Linked DNA regions of Drosophila melanogaster. The protein of the gene in region 3 interacts with the protein of the main gene of each other region in a pairwise test. Each region holds a gene or a part of one and is shown on either strand. Other genes may lie near its edges.

Region 1 (3,769 bases), on a different chromosome or scaffold from region 3:
TGTCTGTGAATATATATATGCTGTGCGCAGCCCATAAATAAATATATAAATTTAAATAAAGGCCGCCGCAATACCCGCACACTCACAGTTTGTTTGTCAATAAATCAGAATACTTATCAACGTCAAAGTACCGCAAAGAATGTGAGCAAACAATAAGAACTAAATGTGTGTGTGTTTCAGGAGGTCCATCAGTTTATTGGGAACTATTAAAGTTATTTATGAAAATAAATGGAATACCTACAACTTAAAAATAAAACCTTTCATTGAGCTACAAACATTTCTACACAGTGCCTAAATTATTCGACAAATGCGCCTCTATCTTGACTCCAGCAGGCATTGTGGGTGCCAATTTATGGGCAATCTGTGCTTATTTTCCCATTTCCCAGCCCAACATTGTTTTGGGCCTAGTCCCGAACTAAGTCCGCTAATTGCGCCGCCTTAGCCGGGCCATCTCGACCGGGTTTCGGGGAAGGCCCCGTCCATAATTATGCGAAATGTGCGCCATTTCTTCGGACTGTTGCCTGTTATTGTTTGCATTATTAGCTGACAATTTCGGTGGCACTGTGATGCCAAGTGGTGGGTCTGTGATTAGGCCGGCTCTTTGGGCTCTGGAAATTGTGGGATTAGCAGGCGCTTTGTCTGTGGCTAGAATCTTGGTCGGGCACCATCAGCCTGTCGCTCGATAAGCGCTCCAGGGCAACTCGAGTCCAAGAAGTTGATGTTTTTCTTGCATGATTACGACCATAAGCCAACGGCGTGTTATTGCAGGCCAAAGAAGTGGACGGTTTTCTTGGGAAACGCCCGAGTTCAAATCGATTGAACCAATGTTGCTCTTTAAATTGGTTTAATTTAGACATTTATTGTATCTCAACTTCCTGGAAGCAACTTGATTAAATTTCCTAATTTAAATAACCGGAACTATTGGACAGCAACTAATTCTGAAGAGCAAAGGCCATCTAAAATATCGCTTGATTTCTTAGCTATCACTAATGTGACTATCAATTCGAGGAAATGAAATTTTGTAGAATTAATAAAAGTCGTGTGTTATTAAGAAAATATTAAAACGTATTATATTTATTGTTTGAATACCAGAACGTTTCTTATTCCGAGCACATATTGTAGCGTTTGCCCCTCGCTTTTGGCATTTAAAATGGAGCAAATATTTTAGAATTCACCTGAATCGCATGCAAAAGCCTTTGTCAACATCAATGGTCCGCTGTGACCACGCTCTTTGTTGTAGTTTTTTGTGAATGCGCAATTGTTCAGTGTCGTCATGGCTGTGGCATGCACAAAGCGCCGATTGCAACGCCCATCCATCCACCCAGCAACCCCCCCCCCCCCCCACCTACTAAAGCTTTCAGGATATGCCATCCAACTACCAACTACCATACCGACCAAAACGCTTTTTTTTCGGCGCTGACATGTCCAGGCACTGGGGCAAAAACAAACCCATATATGTATATTCAATAGGCCGGGCGCTGCCAGAGTGTTTTCCGACGTTTTTCTGTAATTCGTTGTAGGTTTTTTCCAAGTTGGCTTTCGGCCGGTCCGAAAAAAGCGGCCTGCCTACATAAAGGCGCTAGCATATTAAAGGCTTAAACCCACTCAACGGCAGATGCCATATTGTTGAAATATATGCAGATACGTCGCGCATACGTCATGTGAAGATGGAATCCGGTTTGCAAAATGCATTCCATTCAAGCAGCGTTCTGTGATTTTTCATTGCAATCGGTTAAGCAATCGAATCCACCAGATTTATGTATTGTAAGCATATATTTCCATTCAAAGCTCAAAGCGATTTTCACCTTACCTGCACAACAAAAACACTACACTAGGGTGTGATCGTAGAGCTCGGTTTTTCAAATTTCGATCGAAGTGGGCCTGGATTATTGTGCAATGCTGTCGTCCTACTGTTATATCTCATTCAGTTTCCTGTTTCGCTCCGAATAACTTCCAAATTGAACAGTAAAAATTTGTAACAAAAATAAAGTATAATATTTTTCTAGAAATTTTATTTTGGAAAACTTAAGTCGAAAACATGTGCTCTCCGTGCGGTCCTTGTAGTCCATGCGATCCCTGCTGCGGTCCCTTCGAGTGCTCACCCAAGTGCTATAATGCCGCCCAATTGGAGGCCTTGCCACAATGTGCTCCACGTATTCCACCTCCCTTCCCCAAATGCATCACCGTGCAGCAACCACCACGCATGATCTGCAAGAAACGCGTGGTGTTCACGGAGAAGATTGTGCCGGAGCCAATGGTGGTTAACCGATGCAGACAGATTACCATTCCAAAGGTCGTTGATGCCACGCGGGTGATCAAGGTGCCCAAGCTGATTTGGGTGTCGCAGATGGTGCGAGAACCCAGAGTAATCTACTACCCCTCGATGATCCCCGATCCCTATGTGGTGTGCTATCCCAAGCGCGTCTGCGAACCCCGGGAGGTGTGTCAGTCGATCCTGTGCCAGCCGAAGCCACAGACCATCGACATTCCGCCGCCAAGGGAGTACTGCTGCTATCCAAATGGACCCATCAACTACAAGCCCAGTGCAGCGTGCCCACCCTGCCCCATTGGACCATGTGCTCCTGGAGGACCCTGCTGTCCGCTGCCCTGCTTCTCCACAAACCAGTATCCCGTTGCCGAGGGTAGGTGCGGACCCTGTGGACCTTGCGGTCCAGGATGCGGACCCTGCGGTCCGCGATGTGGTCCCTGCGGACCCGGCCCGTGCGGACCCTGTGGGCCGAGATGCGGTCCGGGTGGACCGTGCGCCGTGCCCAATTGCGGGCCCTGCGGCCTCACAATGCCGTCGGGTCCGTTTGTCCCGGCTCCGTGTGGACCCTGTGCTCCATGCGGGCCATGTGGACCGCTCGGCAATAGTCCTTGCGGTCCTTGCGGACCCTGCGGACCCTGTTCGCCCCCGTGTCCGTACGAGTCACCCGAGTGCGGCCCCTGCTACCCGTGCGCCCCAACTCCCTGGAATACCCACTGCGGCCCAGTTGGTCCTTGCGGTCCTCAAGTGCCTTGTGGACCCAGCGGCCCCTGTTAACATCATCGTTGTGCTGCCTGGATTGTTGTCAGAAACCGGTGCCCAGTGGACCAACTTGTCTATCACCAATACAGATTGCCATAGTGTATTCTCGCCGTTCTGCTCAAACACCACCAAAAAAGTCTACAGTTCTCTATACTTTGTCAACGCATGGACGACTCATTGGCTGTAAATAAAAATCGGATTTATGCATATATAAGGTTTTTTCAATTTCTTTTGACAGGTTATGCAATGGTTTCTATCCAGATAAAATTTTCTACCAAATTTTTGTCAAATAGTAGGCCTTGCCTCTGCTTGTCAATCTACCTATGTTCGTTACTCAGGCTTAGCTCGCATTTTGAATCCGGTTTCGCTTCGATACACTTCTAAATTTCTCTGATCAAATTTTATAAGAAACAAAAAACAAAAATTAACTTTTTACTCTTTCGGTTTATTCTAGTCGAAACTTAAAATGTGCTCTCCGTGCGGTCCTTGTAGTCCATGCGATCCCTGCTGCGGTCCCTTCGAGTGCTCACCCAAGTGCTACAATGCCGCCCAATTGGAGGCCTTGCCACAATGTGCTCCACGTATTCCACCACCCTTCCCCAAATGCATCACCGTGCAGCAACCACCACGCATGATCTGCAAGAAACGCGTTGTGTTCACGGAGAAGATTGTGCCGGAGCCAATGGTGGTTAACCGATGCAGGCAGATCACCATTCCAAAGGTCGTTGATGCCACGCGGGT
Region 2 (3,188 bases), on a different chromosome or scaffold from region 3:
AGTGACTGTCATGCGGCCTGCCACGCCCCACCAACGCAGCGCGCCCACAAAAGCTCAGTCGATATGTTGCGCGTTATGCGGCACTCATTTCCTTCCTTCTTTTGCGTCAGTTGAAAACTTTGCCCGAAACTCGTTTGCCACTTTGTGCATGTTTAACTTTTTAGGGCAAGCACCCTTAACCCTTAAGCCGTAACCCTTAACCCCAGTTCCTTGATCGAAGTGACAATTCAAAGAGCGAATGAAATGCGAAATGCAGCACGAACCACTCAATTAAGTACAGCCAAAAAGGCTGCCGCTCTCCTGGTTGTCAAATCGAATATTCCGAATTTTATTTGATCAAGTGATTGAGATTCAGAGAGTCCCGAGAGACTTTTCTTGATTGACCGTCAGAAATTACCATGTTTTTCTATCCATACATTTAATATTTACCCACGTCGCCCCTCGAGGCAAAATCGTGTCTGCAAACTTTGCATAATAGACGTGCAAATGTTTGCCAAATATTTGCCGGCTAAGGAAAATGTGTAAAGAATTATTGGGAATTTTTCGGGGCTGAAAATTGGATAAATATTTGTGGCTTGACAACATTTTCTCAAGCTAAAGTTTGTTTTCACTAGAGTTAAGGAATTTAATCGCATTTAACCAAATACAAATATTTGCACGTTGGTTCATTTCCTTTCTTCGTGACAACGAAATACTTTATTTCTTTTTAAAACTTTAAACAAGTATTTACATGACTATATGTAAGTTAAGGAGAAATCCCCGGAAAAAACCAAACATGACTCATTAAAGAAACGAGGAAAATCTATTGATATGCAGGCTCAAATTTGAATTGAAAAGCTTATTCGAAAAAAGCTTTACCATTTGCCAATTTTCAGTTTATTTATCGATAACTTTGCTCTAGAAGCAATACTTTCGTCAATAGAAATAATTAAGAGTACCTACCTACCTATTCGCTATCAGCAAATGCTGATATTGAGCTTTTTTATGACGGCAAATATTTTGGCGTTTGTTTGGTTAGTCAGTCCCATGAGTTGGGCATTCGCTTAATTCAGTTACCAGCGATAAGTCGACACATTTGGACGGACTTTCTACAGAAGATTAGTGCACCACTATGCCACCACCACCCCACGATCATTGCGGCGGACCGCCTCATCGTCGTGGACCCGTGATTAAGGTACAGATTGCACCACCATGGCCACGCCGCCATCACCGCCCACCACCCCAAGTTGTGGTGGTGCAGCAGCAGGCTCCGCCACCGCCACCAGTCATGGTGGTGCAACAGGCGCCTCCGCCACCGTACTACCAAAATCCACCACCACCACCACCGCCCGGCAGCAGCCACTACCACAATCCACAGTATTGAGAAGGAACTTTGATCTGTAAAATCCTTCACAATGAATTTATACCACGTAGCCTTACTTAACAACTATATGTCCTCAATAAAGTATAACCTTATAAACTAAGTTTTAGTTTATAGTTTTTAGTTTTTTTGCATATTTGTCATGAGTAATGGTTGAGTTTCAATCGAGTTGATTCCATCACACACACTCCCTCTTTTTATTATCAAAATCTCTAATCCGTGTTTTTTTTTTTTAAGTCTTTATCGGAACACCTGGTTAATTTAGACGGCAATCACTTGTTGTTTTGTTAATGTCTAGCAAAACTTTAATTCATTTTCACCAATGCTCTGTCAATGCTTCTATGCTCCTATATCAGAAATAATAACGCGTTACCCATAGATAAGCCGGAATCAGTTAATATAGTAAACAAAATGCGAGTAAAATAGCGAAACCCGATCACCTGTAAATGCACAACTGTCCGGTCGCTGTTATCAGACCTTGTCGAATGACTAAGCCATCTTATCTTTGCCTCTAACCACTGGAATAATTCCCACAAACCCTGATTGATGGAGCTTCGCAGTTCCAGTTTGTTTCGAGCTAGACGTGTTGTGCCACGGACTTTCCAGTATTCAACGCGTTGCTGGGTGGTGAAGTTGGTTCGGTTGGCTGGTTGATTATTTGGCTAGTTAATCAACTATGCGGTACTATGAAGATCCATGTGGCTATCCTCCTCGCCATCACCATGGTCGTCCAAATATCGAAATTGATGTGGTTCCCGGTTGGGGTGGCGGCTACTATCCGCCGCCGCCTCCGCCTCGGCCCGCCGAGGTAGTCTACATGACCCCGGCGGCTACCTATGTGCCCGGCACACAGGTGATAATGCCGCAACCCTACGGCGGCGTCACGGTGGCCACCACCAATGGATACTATCCGCAGCAGCAGCAGCAGGCGTACGAGTATCAGTACCAGTATCAGCAGCCCTACAACAATCCACCGTATCCGCAGTGGTGAACGAGGTCGGAATGGAAACGAAGCCATCACCACTAACAAAAAAAAAATATACTATCGATGGAGTGAAGGAAGGGATAGATAACAAGAAATCAAAACAAATATCACTTTGTCCTAATCTTAAGTTGAAATGACAACGCAAATGGTGCAATGGTCTTGACATTACGCACCACAAAGTTAACAAGTTAATAACCAGAGGAAGGTACAAAAAAACAAAACTGGAATTTAACTTTAACCGTTTCAAAGAAAATATAATTGTGCTATATAACCTTAAAACGAAATAAATAAAATATCTTGCTCTTCAAAAAACCTACCCGTCTTTAATTCTAAAAATATTCTAAATACTGCATTATCGATTTTATTTATGTTTATGTAATTTAGTGTGAGTCATCAATCAGAAGCATGGAATTAAGTCCTTCCTCTTAAATATAAAATTGTGATTCATGGAAACCTTGAACTCTCCTCATGAAATTCAATTCGGAATTTCGTATTTATCAAATGGCACTTATCAATTTTATTTTTTTTTTATCGAAAAAAACACATTTATTCCACCTGACAAGATAACCAACTAAGCTACTGTGCAAAACGCACATAACAAAATTAGGAAAAAAAATTCCCCCTCATTAGCGATAAAAATTGACTTAAATAGTTAAGCAGGCGAAGAAGCAAGTTCAGTTCGAGAAAGCAGTCAAAGGCATTCACTTCACCCACTAAGGATACAATACTTGGATAGTTTCTGAAGAAAATGCCGTACTACGAGGAGGAACGTCGTCATCACCATCATCACCATCACGGTGGAAGGCCAATTGTAGAGGTGGACATTGTGCCGCCAAGGATTCC
Region 3 (5,006 bases):
CTGAATAATCGTCGTCATAAGGAGGCTAGAATGTGGCTCAATGACCTGCAGAATAACGAATTTGGTCCCGAGGCCGTCAAGGACAGCGAAAGAAAGCGTTTCCTTAGGGAGCAGATCATGGAAATACAGATGCTACATCTGCGTTTGTCCTTTTTAGTATTTGGCGAAGTTGAATTCTATACTGGATTCAAAAAGATCAAGCTACATGAACTGCTCGAGAATGGACTCGAAGAGTTTCCACGAAATATGGTGTTTCTACAGCTGTGGGCCAGCTTAAAATCGATTATGTGGCACAAGCAGCGTAGCCGGCTCATACGCACCAAAGCCGGCATCGCTTCACTGGCGCACTTGGTCGTTGCGATTCACAATCGCTTTGGAATCGTAGATACCAACGATAAGTTTTCAAAGGAAGCCACAAGGAAGATGGTGTGCAATCGTTTGGTCAGCATTGTCGAGACTTTTCTCCCGACCAATTTAGATCGTTTGGATGTGGAGGAAGAGCATTATCGCATACTGCGCAGGAACTCCATCTATTGGCGCTTGTACATGATTGCCCTATCCAAAACGAATGCCTCGTTTAGGCGCAGCAAAGAAGTCCTTATAATGGCCATGGACGAGTGTCCCTGGGACAAGTCACTACTGATGGAAGGCGCCAAGGTTTTGCCAGTGAAACTAGCATCGCTACAGGACCTGATGACCGAAAAAGAGATTCGCATTTTCGCTATGCCCGAGGAAGTGGACGTCTTGAGGGGCTTTTAAGTCGCTTTGGTTTTATTCGTTTGTTTTGAGGTTATTTGCCATTCGGGCGACTCGATAAGTTCGCATCATAAATATATTTATTTCTTCAAACAATCTAGTTCTGAAGTTTGCTTCAACTTTAAGTTAACTGGCGAAATTGCGATAAGCTGTTTGCAGTTATATGCGTACATGCATATTTTACTACATATATCCTAAATCGCTTATCAGAATTGGCTCACTAACAAATTCAGAATTAGCGATTTTGCTACTCAAAAATACTCGCCGTTCGATTATGTTAAAAAAAAATTCCAACACTTTATCGCTCGTTGCTGTGCAAGGAAACCAGAGTCGCATATCGAATGTCGGAGATTAGTCCAACTTCATCTTCTGGCCAATCCGCTCCCCCCGAATCCAGCATTTTCTTGTGTTTATTATTTTGATTGTGTTTATCGCAAGATAACCGAACAAAACTCATAAGCCAAAACAGCGCCGAAAGAATCACTGCGCACCTGAGGTCGCAATTGTAGCACCTGGAAGCTGTGAGACGAACTAAATACAACATATTTGTTATGTCATTTTCATATCGCTGAAATGAAACATATATTGCAAATAGCTTATTTTTATATTACTGAAATTTAAAATATATTGCAAATAGTTTATGGTTCTGTTTATTTAAATTTATTAAATCATTTAAATATGCAAAAGAAATTAAGAAGTTTTCTACATTTGTAAATTACAAATAAAAATATTTATATTCCTATTTAGCTATGAGTAGTTTTAACAGCTAACTTGTTAAATATTGATAAATTTAGATTTAATATGTACACATTAAAGGATTTGTATTAAATGACATGAATGATATTGACGATAAAATGATTGATATTTTGTATGCGATCTGTTTGTGTGACCGCAAGTGTGGTGGCCAAGTTGCGTGAGCGCGAGCGAGACGGCTGTGGCTGAGTGTTGACTCGTCTCGAATGTTGCGTATGCGCCCTGTCTGCCCAGCCACTTAAGACTCCTGTGCGTTACTGTTGCTCTTTGGAAAAGCGTGGAAATCGGGAGAGGAAACGCTGTGATTGGGCAGAGGGGTAGTGGGGATGAAAAGCTCCGCTCGCCGAAACGCATCGAAAGCTGTCTGAGCGCGAGAGTCCTGGCTGCTGTCCATTCGCACGTCCGTCTGTTCGCCTGCTCGTCCACCCATCCGACATCTTTGGACCGGGCTTCATCGATGGCAGTCGGTCGGCATCTGTCCAAGTCCCACGACGCGTTGTCGCTCCGCATCGGCCGTTGCTGCAGTGGAAGCGGCCCGTTTGGCCAAGTGGCGTCTCCGTAGTCCCTAGTCTCATGGCGGCGGAGTCTCCTCTCAAGGTTTCCCAGGCACTCCAGACCGTTTCCAGTTCCTAGGTTAGTGCTAGAGCTCGGAATATCTGGCCAGTATCAGGCCAATCCATATATAATAATATATACATACATATATATATATATATGTATATATCGCTATAACGGCCGAGTGTTTTTTGTTCCATTTCGTTTCGATAGCGAGTGTAATTTTTTTGAGAGTGCTCCCCCGTTCTAAGTCGTGTGTGTGTGTGTGTTTCTCTTCCTGTTTGGGTGTGTGTGCTGCGATGTCTCTGTGTTGGTGTAGAGCAGAAGCAAGAAGAAGCAGCATTGTGTAAGACGCCAGCGTCAAGTTCGTAGACTAAACACCAACCTTCTTTTGCGGCTCTACTCTAGCAAAGGGGAAAAGCTTTTCAGAGAGGAAACTCAGAAAATGAGAAAACGATAGAGACAGAGAGCGCAGAGAGTCAATGTGCACTGCTAGAAAATGTGGGGAAAACCAGTTTGCGAGCATGCGATTCGTGACAGTTTGCATATTTTTTAAGCATCTTTATCTCAGATTTCCAAATCTATAACTCAAATATTACTAAATTTATTACAGATAAGTGTAATCAAAATAATTGATAGCTTATTATTATTATTATATAATGCTTCCTTGGAGATTGTTATAAACAGAGGAGATTCAAGTGATTTTTTGTGCAAAACTCTAGTTTTAGCAACGTTTTCTTTTTTCCCGGTGTACTGGGTGAGCATGAACTCGCCGAGGGTTTCCCGGCCGGAAACCTTAGTCAAGGTCTCGCCAGCTTTCCAACGCAGGTTGTTGCTGCGCTCTCGCTCACACTCGCTGCTGGTGGGCGTTTGGCCAATCGCCATCTCTGTCGCACCGCTGTCGGTGACGAGCGAAGCTTTTATTGTATATTTCATCTTTCACGCTCTTTTCCCTGCCATTTCTGCTTCTTTGGGGCAGCGGCACCTAGAGCGGGAGCGGGAGCGGAGTGGAGCGTGAGTGGAGCGTTAGCTTTCCGGGCAGCTGATTCGCGCTCGGCTCGGCTCTCCGCTGCCGTTGCCGCTGCCGCCGTCGCTGCTCCGCTCGTCGTCTGGCTGATTAGTTTAGTTTGTGATTTCAATATATGTAATTAATTTTTGTTTCTGTAGCGGTACGGACGGACGCGTCGCGACGTTCGCTTGGTCCGCTTGGTGTTCGTTCGGTTCGCTTGGAGCTTGGAGTTCGAATTCGGTTCGCCAGCCGTCGCTGTTTCGTATTTATTATTATTTTTTATTTTTTTTTTATGAGTATATTCGTATTTCGCATTTGTATCTGAATGTTTCTTTGGCTCTGCGTACGTGTGTGAGCGATTGTGCGAGTTTCCTTCTCTTTCAACTTGCCTTTTTCGTGGTCGCCGCCGCTGCTAAAATGCAAAGAACACGCTCGAGCAACGTAAATGGCGCCGCGTTAACGAATGGAATTGGATTATCAAACAGTGCCCCCCAGAGCCCCATATAAAAGTTGAAAAAAAAAATAAAATAAAAAACAAAACGAGGAATTAAAACCGAAATAAAACAGGCAACAAACAAACTTCGTTTTGACAACCCCCCCGCCTTTTTTTTTGTTTGCGTGTGTGTGTTTTGTGCCAGTGCTTGTGCTATAGTGTAAAAAAAAAAGTTTGAAACAACAAACCAAAAACGCGCTCGAGGGGAAATATTATCAAAAAGGTAGATGGCGGTGACCTTAAATCATATAGTAATTATAGGGCTATCTTCCAGTTGGACAGTTTCAACAACCAAACGTTGGTGTATGAAAAACTCCAATTATCCTATTATACGACTAGTATGTATATTCATAAGCCCAATGGGGCTTAAATACCGCTGTTGGTGTGTTGTTGAACAAGCTTGAACAAGTATTTTTTTGTGCTCTACGTTGGTGCATTGGAGTGTAGATATAGTTTCAACAACCGACCAACCACCAAGCGCAAAATTAATATTGTTGAAACGTTCGAGCTTAGCAGCTGTTGGTGAACCGTTGTTGGTGTATTGTTGAGTGCGCGGCATTAGATGCTGTTGATCAGAGTACTTTTGGTACTCTTGTGATCCTGTTTCATTTCCGTTTTTGTTCACTGATTTCGATGTTTTCTTGTGCAGAGAATTGGTTTTATATGGTGTAGCCTACGAGTACGAGCATATGTGCTGAAATCAGCGGCGCGTGCGCGCATTTTTGCGCGATCGAAACCCGAGAACGATTCAGTTTTTTGTTGAGTTGGGAAAAGTTTCGATTTACGAAAAACATTCCCACTGTCTGTGTTTGTCATCCTTCGAAAATCTGCTTAGCCAACATTAACGTGTTTGCCCATCCACAAACACATACAAATGCATACAAAAAAAAAACTATCACATTCGCATCGACACAATCAATGAGGCAAGACAAATAAAATTAACATATTAATGAATTTCCAGTTTCTTTTTTCGACTTATTTAATTTTTTAATAAGAAAAGAAAAAACAGAAAAACAAAACAAGCGTGAAGAACTCGAGTCTCTCGACTTCGGCATACCCAAAAAGCACGAAAGCGGGAAGTGTGATTATGGCCAAAATTCCAGATCTGCGCTTTAATGGGTGTGCGAAGATCAACGGATTCCAATGAATATAGATGTTATATGGCGGAGCACTTTATGATGGGTTCTTAGCCTCCCTTGAACTTGTGGGCAGCATGGAAAGAGTGCGATGGAACTGAGCTTTGGATGATAATAGCAATAAAAGTAAATATAAATAGCCCAGCATCAGGTATTTGTTGGCAACAATTTTTCAATGATTTACCAGTTCCGAGTTCCGATCAATAAAAGTGTTTTTTTTCTGTTTTTTTTTTTTTTGCTATTCGGTTTGGTTTTTTCTTTCCAATTTTTGTTTTTTGTTCGGCTGCTTTGCTGCTGCTCTCAA
Region 4 (4,583 bases), on a different chromosome or scaffold from region 3:
TTGGGAGTTTTCCGGACAGCTAATGTACTTGGGAACATCGTCCACGCAGAGACAGAAGCCGTCGGTACCTTCAATAGTTGGAAAAGTAGAGAAGTCCGTCTTTCCTGAGCATCCATTGGCGCAACAGCGGGGCTGTAAAAGAATTTTGAATAAATCATCAACTCATGTTCAATGTACTTCAGGACGGATTTAAATGCCTTACATCTGGCAGTGGAATAAGAACACACTCGAGCTCCTCGGTATTGAAAGTGTAGCCAATTGGACAGGAAACAGTGATGGGTTCGCCAGCGCGGCACAAGCAGAAACTGTTCGGGTCTTCGTAGTCCGGAGAGACGAAGTACTCTGACTGGTCATTGCAGACCTGAGGATCGCAGTTTCCGGACTGTAATAGCGAAATAAAAGGATAGTTATTGGAAACGCGTTACGTATTTTTCCTGGCGACTACTTACGAATGTGCAGACTTGATCCGTTGCGTCGTAGAACAATCCGGTTGGACACGATTGAATATAAGCACCACTATCCCGGCACAGGCAGAAGGTCGACGAATCGTTGTCGTTAGATGGATACGTCGAGTCCACAGCGGCACTGTTACAAATGGTCTGGTCGCAATCGGGCTAAATTTGATGAAAACAACGAGGTATTTTGGATAAACTTAATATAGAAAGAGTAAAACTTATCGATCTTTTTTCACTTCTTAATTAATTTGTTTAACTTACGCTGGGTTGGTCCAGGCATATACCCAGGGCGGCGGAGTAACCAGTGTTAACCGGGCAGGGTTGAATGGTGGCCTCGTTGCTGAGGCAGACGTAGAACTGGCCAGTTTCTCCAGCGACAGGGTAGGTGGTGCCATCACTGGCGGTTGCGCAGTTTTTGGCGGAGCACTCTACGGTAGTGGAGCACTGACCAGTTGCTGAATCAAAGGCCTCTCCAACGACGCATTGCTTCACTTGGGGCACTCCGTCCGTGCACTGGAAGTAATTGGTACAGATGGGATGGGCCACGTTGCCATTGCCGCAGGAGCATGGGTTGATGCACTTGGCATTCACATCGATGACGCAATTACCATCGCCGTTGTACCACTCGCCGGAGCCGCATGTGTGCTTTGTGGCCAGGCCATTCCAGCAGGTCAAATAGCTGGTGCAGTCGGTCGGATCGGCCATCTGGTAGCCATTCGGCTTGTTGGAGCACACCCAGCAGGTGGCCTTGGTGTCTGGAACACAGATGCCGCTGGACTTCTGAAAGACATTGCCCACCCCGCACACACCCTCTACCAACTGACCATTCTCGCAGATCAGGTACTTATCGCAGTCTGTCGAGTGACCTATAATGGTTCCCTGCGCGATGCCTCCCTCGCAGGTGCAGTCCTCCACACTTCGCTTTTGGCGCGATCCGCTCGATCTGTTTTCCGGGCAGACATTTTCGGTGTCCTCGCGGCAAATGCCAACGGAGGCGTCGAAGTAGGTGTTATTGGGGCAAGTGCCATCCTCCCACTGGCCACTGATGCAGTGCTGGTATGTCCAGCAGTTCTTTCCACTTGCTGGAGGATCCTTGGCATTGCACTTGTCAACGGAACTAGTTTCAACGGTTGAGGTAGTGGGAATCTGTGTTGAGTTGCTCTTGGCATCAATGCACACATTATTCACATCCACTTGGCAGCAGTTTAGAGTTTCATTAAAATAACTGCCACTATCACAGGAAACGGAAGTCCAGTCGCCACTTTGACACTTGAAGTACTTGGTGCAGTCCTGGGGATCCACTTTTGCTTCGCCATCTGTACAATCCGCCACACAGCAAGTGTTGTCAGCATCAACTTCACAAACACTGAGGTTAGCATTGAACACGTTACCCTTGCCGCAATCCGCGGCCACCAGGACACCATCAATGCAGATGAAGTACTTGCGACAGTTTTCTTCATCGGGAATGAAGTCTGCGTTCTTAATATCACCGCAATCGCAGGATGCCGGAGGTTCCGTTGTCTCCTCAGCACAAGATTCAGTGGTAGTGGTTGTGGAATCATCGCATGGTGACTCTGTGGTGCAAGTGCCGGGAACACAACCCCAGTTATTACTCTCAAAATAGCTTCCTTCGGGACATTCTTGAGCAGTAGCCGTATTGTTGGAGCACACATAGAACAAGGAGCAGTTGGACTTGTCGGCCACAGCGGACCCATCATCCTGTCCAATGCAGTAGTTAACCCAGCATTGTGAGTTTCCTTGATCGACAGTACAGGCGGCAACTGAGGTGTTGAAAAAGCTGCCTTGGGGACAAGTCTGAAGAGTGGCTTCTCCATTGGAGCACACGTAGTAGCTACCGCAGTTCGCCTCATTTTCGACAAAGACACCATTGGTCTTATTGATGCACAGGTTCTGCCAGCACGTGGAGTTTGCATCCGGTATGCAGGCGGCCAGGGTTTCATTGAAGAAGCTTCCTAAATCGCACTTCTGTGGATAGGCAATCTGCTCGTCGCAGATGTAGAACTCGCCACAAGAACCACTATTGGCTATGTACGCTCCGTTCACCTCGGTGGAGCACACATTGGTGGCCTACAGAAGTTCGGATAGAAGTTAAGGGTTGGGATAAATGGGTCTTTATCTAACTCTAAAAGCGAATCTAGAACCTACCTCAGCGAGTGGAGCTAAAAGACTCAGCTTGCAGAGACTTCGTCCTGCCATTGTGCACTTGCCATTCTTGGGGTTGTACTCCTTGCCGGGTGCACACGTCACCGTGCGAACGGCGTTCTTGGCGGTGCAACGGTAGTAGGAGGAACAGTTCAGGGGTTTCGGCCAGTGCATCGGAAGGTTCCTAGTCCTCCGGTATATGCATTCAGGATCGGCGGCTCCAACTAGGGCAACCACTGCAGTGAGTGCCACCACAGTGAGCAGAGTAGCTGGATACGAGAAAAGTAACTAGAGTCCATGTTACTATTTGGGTACTTCACACTCTCACCTTTCATCTTGTTCACTTCTATTATTCCACTTGTGATGATCGAGATGTACTCCACATAATTGCCAAAAAGTTAGTGCCTTTTATATACCACATTATTTTCGACTGACTCTAATTGTCCCTTATCTCTATCAATTATGCCGATCATGTTAGACATGGCCCTTTCATGTCAGTCTAATTGAGGTGTGAACTTTGGGAATTGTAATTCCTGGAAGTCATCACCTATTTCAGTGTAGACACTCCCCAAAGTTTGGTGTTTGGAATTCGCAAAGTTATGAATGAATGTCACGAGCAAGGTCTTGTTCCACCTCAAGATCACTCAAAAGTTAAAAGAAAAGCCAGATAGGTAAAATAACGTTTTTTGAGAGCATGCTATTTATTTGTACTTTATGTACATTACTTTACTTTATTTGCTTAGGCACAGGTCTTGTCGCAAGTCTGGTTTACCGAGTTCCAGTACAGATCACTTGGACAATCCTTGATGAATCCAATATCTCCATCGCAATGTATGTATAAATGACAATCGTACGGATGTGGCAGAAATTGCACACCTTGATGAGCTCTACAGGAGGCGTTCGCATCCACGTTGGGAATTGTCTGGGTGGTCGCACTTGTCGGATCTGATGGATCGCCCGAGGATTCTTCTGGCTCATGCGTGGGAATTGATGGTTCTCCAGTGGGCTCTTCAGTGGAATCCGAAGTACCTTCATTGGTGGTTTCCCCCGCCGGTATTTTAGTCTCTTCAGTTGTTTCTTGAGTCGGTTGACCTGTGGGACTGTCAGTGGGTTGATCTGATGGATTAGACGTTTCTCCAGTGGGCTGTCCTGTGGGATCCGATGGATTTTCAGTGGATTCTTCGGTTGGCTCCGATGGTTCGTCGTTGGTGGGACTTCCCGTGGGATTCAATGGATTTTCAGTTGGCTCCGATGGATTTTCAGTAGATGTAATGTTCGAGGGCGGTTCAGTTGGTACTACTGTGGGCTTAGCAGTGGGCTTCCATGGTTCATCGGTCGAATCGGATGGGTCCTCCGATGAGTCATCTGTGGGATCCCAGGGATCATCAGTGGGGTCGTCAGGATCCTCAGGGGGCTTTGGTGAAGCAGTTGGCTTGACACATTGCCTGGCACTAAGAGCAGTTGCCAAAAGCATTAGCTGCAAGGACATCAACATCCAGACCACTGAAACCCAGAAGCGTTTGTCTTTAATATTAAAAAAATAATATTCATTTTCTTTTCAGGTACTTACACTTCATTGCAGCGACGATCGGTGATCTACAAACCAAAACCAATGAATAACTTGCAGTGGGCGGTGCATTTATAGCATTTCGAGCTGCATTTCATTCAGCCTTTAATTAGCATACAACAAGTCACTAAAGTGTACTCATTATCACTATCTTGTCCAAACATGATAAGACTGCAATAACTTGATTGATAATGAAATATTTATTAGAGAAACGGAAACAATTATAATTGGTTAATCAGAAACAAGATCGTTAAATCTACAAAATCGAATTGTAATGTTTTTAAATTTATTTATGGATGCTCCATTTTTTATTGTTACAATATACATATATGGTAATGCGTAACCCTTGAACTTCCGGTTATCTAGAACAAGTAATTGACTTTTCAATTATTCGTGAT

Evidence for each region.
Region 1: the proteins of gce (region 3) and Mst98Ca interact in a two-hybrid assay, tested with the Drosophila melanogaster proteins (one large-scale study listed by BioGRID).
Region 2: the proteins of gce (region 3) and CG15422 interact in a two-hybrid assay, tested with the Drosophila melanogaster proteins (one large-scale study listed by BioGRID).
Region 4: the proteins of gce (region 3) and CG43896 interact in a two-hybrid assay, tested with the Drosophila melanogaster proteins (one large-scale study listed by BioGRID).

Annotation. Positions count from the first base shown.
Region 1 is NT_033777.3:28,289,421-28,293,189, forward strand, and holds Mst98Ca (Male-specific RNA 98Ca), read left to right. Parts: upstream 1-1,917; 5' UTR 1,918-2,038; coding exon 2,039-3,043; 3' UTR 3,044-3,236; downstream 3,237-3,769. Other genes in the region: Mst98Cb (Male-specific RNA 98Cb), read left to right, coding at 3,495-3,769.
Region 2 is NT_033779.5:4,003,020-4,006,207, forward strand, and holds CG15422 (uncharacterized protein), read left to right. Parts: upstream 1-1,964; 5' UTR 1,965-2,036; coding exon 2,037-2,351; 3' UTR 2,352-2,651; downstream 2,652-3,188. Other genes in the region: CG34176 (uncharacterized protein), read left to right, coding at 1,112-1,363; CG15423 (uncharacterized protein), read left to right, coding at 3,094-3,188.
Region 3 is NC_004354.4:15,295,795-15,300,800, forward strand, and holds the start of gce (germ cell-expressed bHLH-PAS), read left to right. Parts: upstream 1-1,971; 5' UTR 1,972-2,142; intron 2,143-2,242; exon of another isoform or gene 2,243-2,423; intron 2,424-3,214; exon of another isoform or gene 3,215-3,789; intron 3,790-4,714; exon of another isoform or gene 4,715-4,828; intron 4,829-5,006. Other genes in the region: CG5877 (uncharacterized protein), read left to right, coding at 1-759.
Region 4 is NT_037436.4:11,974,534-11,979,116, reverse strand, and holds the start of CG43896 (uncharacterized protein), read right to left. Parts: upstream 3,007-4,583; 5' UTR 2,954-3,006; coding exon 2,947-2,953; intron 2,888-2,946; coding exon 2,622-2,887; intron 2,544-2,621; coding exon 717-2,543; intron 615-716; coding exon 450-614; intron 383-449; coding exon 203-382; intron 133-202; coding exon 1-132. Other genes in the region: CG14125 (uncharacterized protein), read right to left, coding at 3,358-4,142, 4,189-4,195.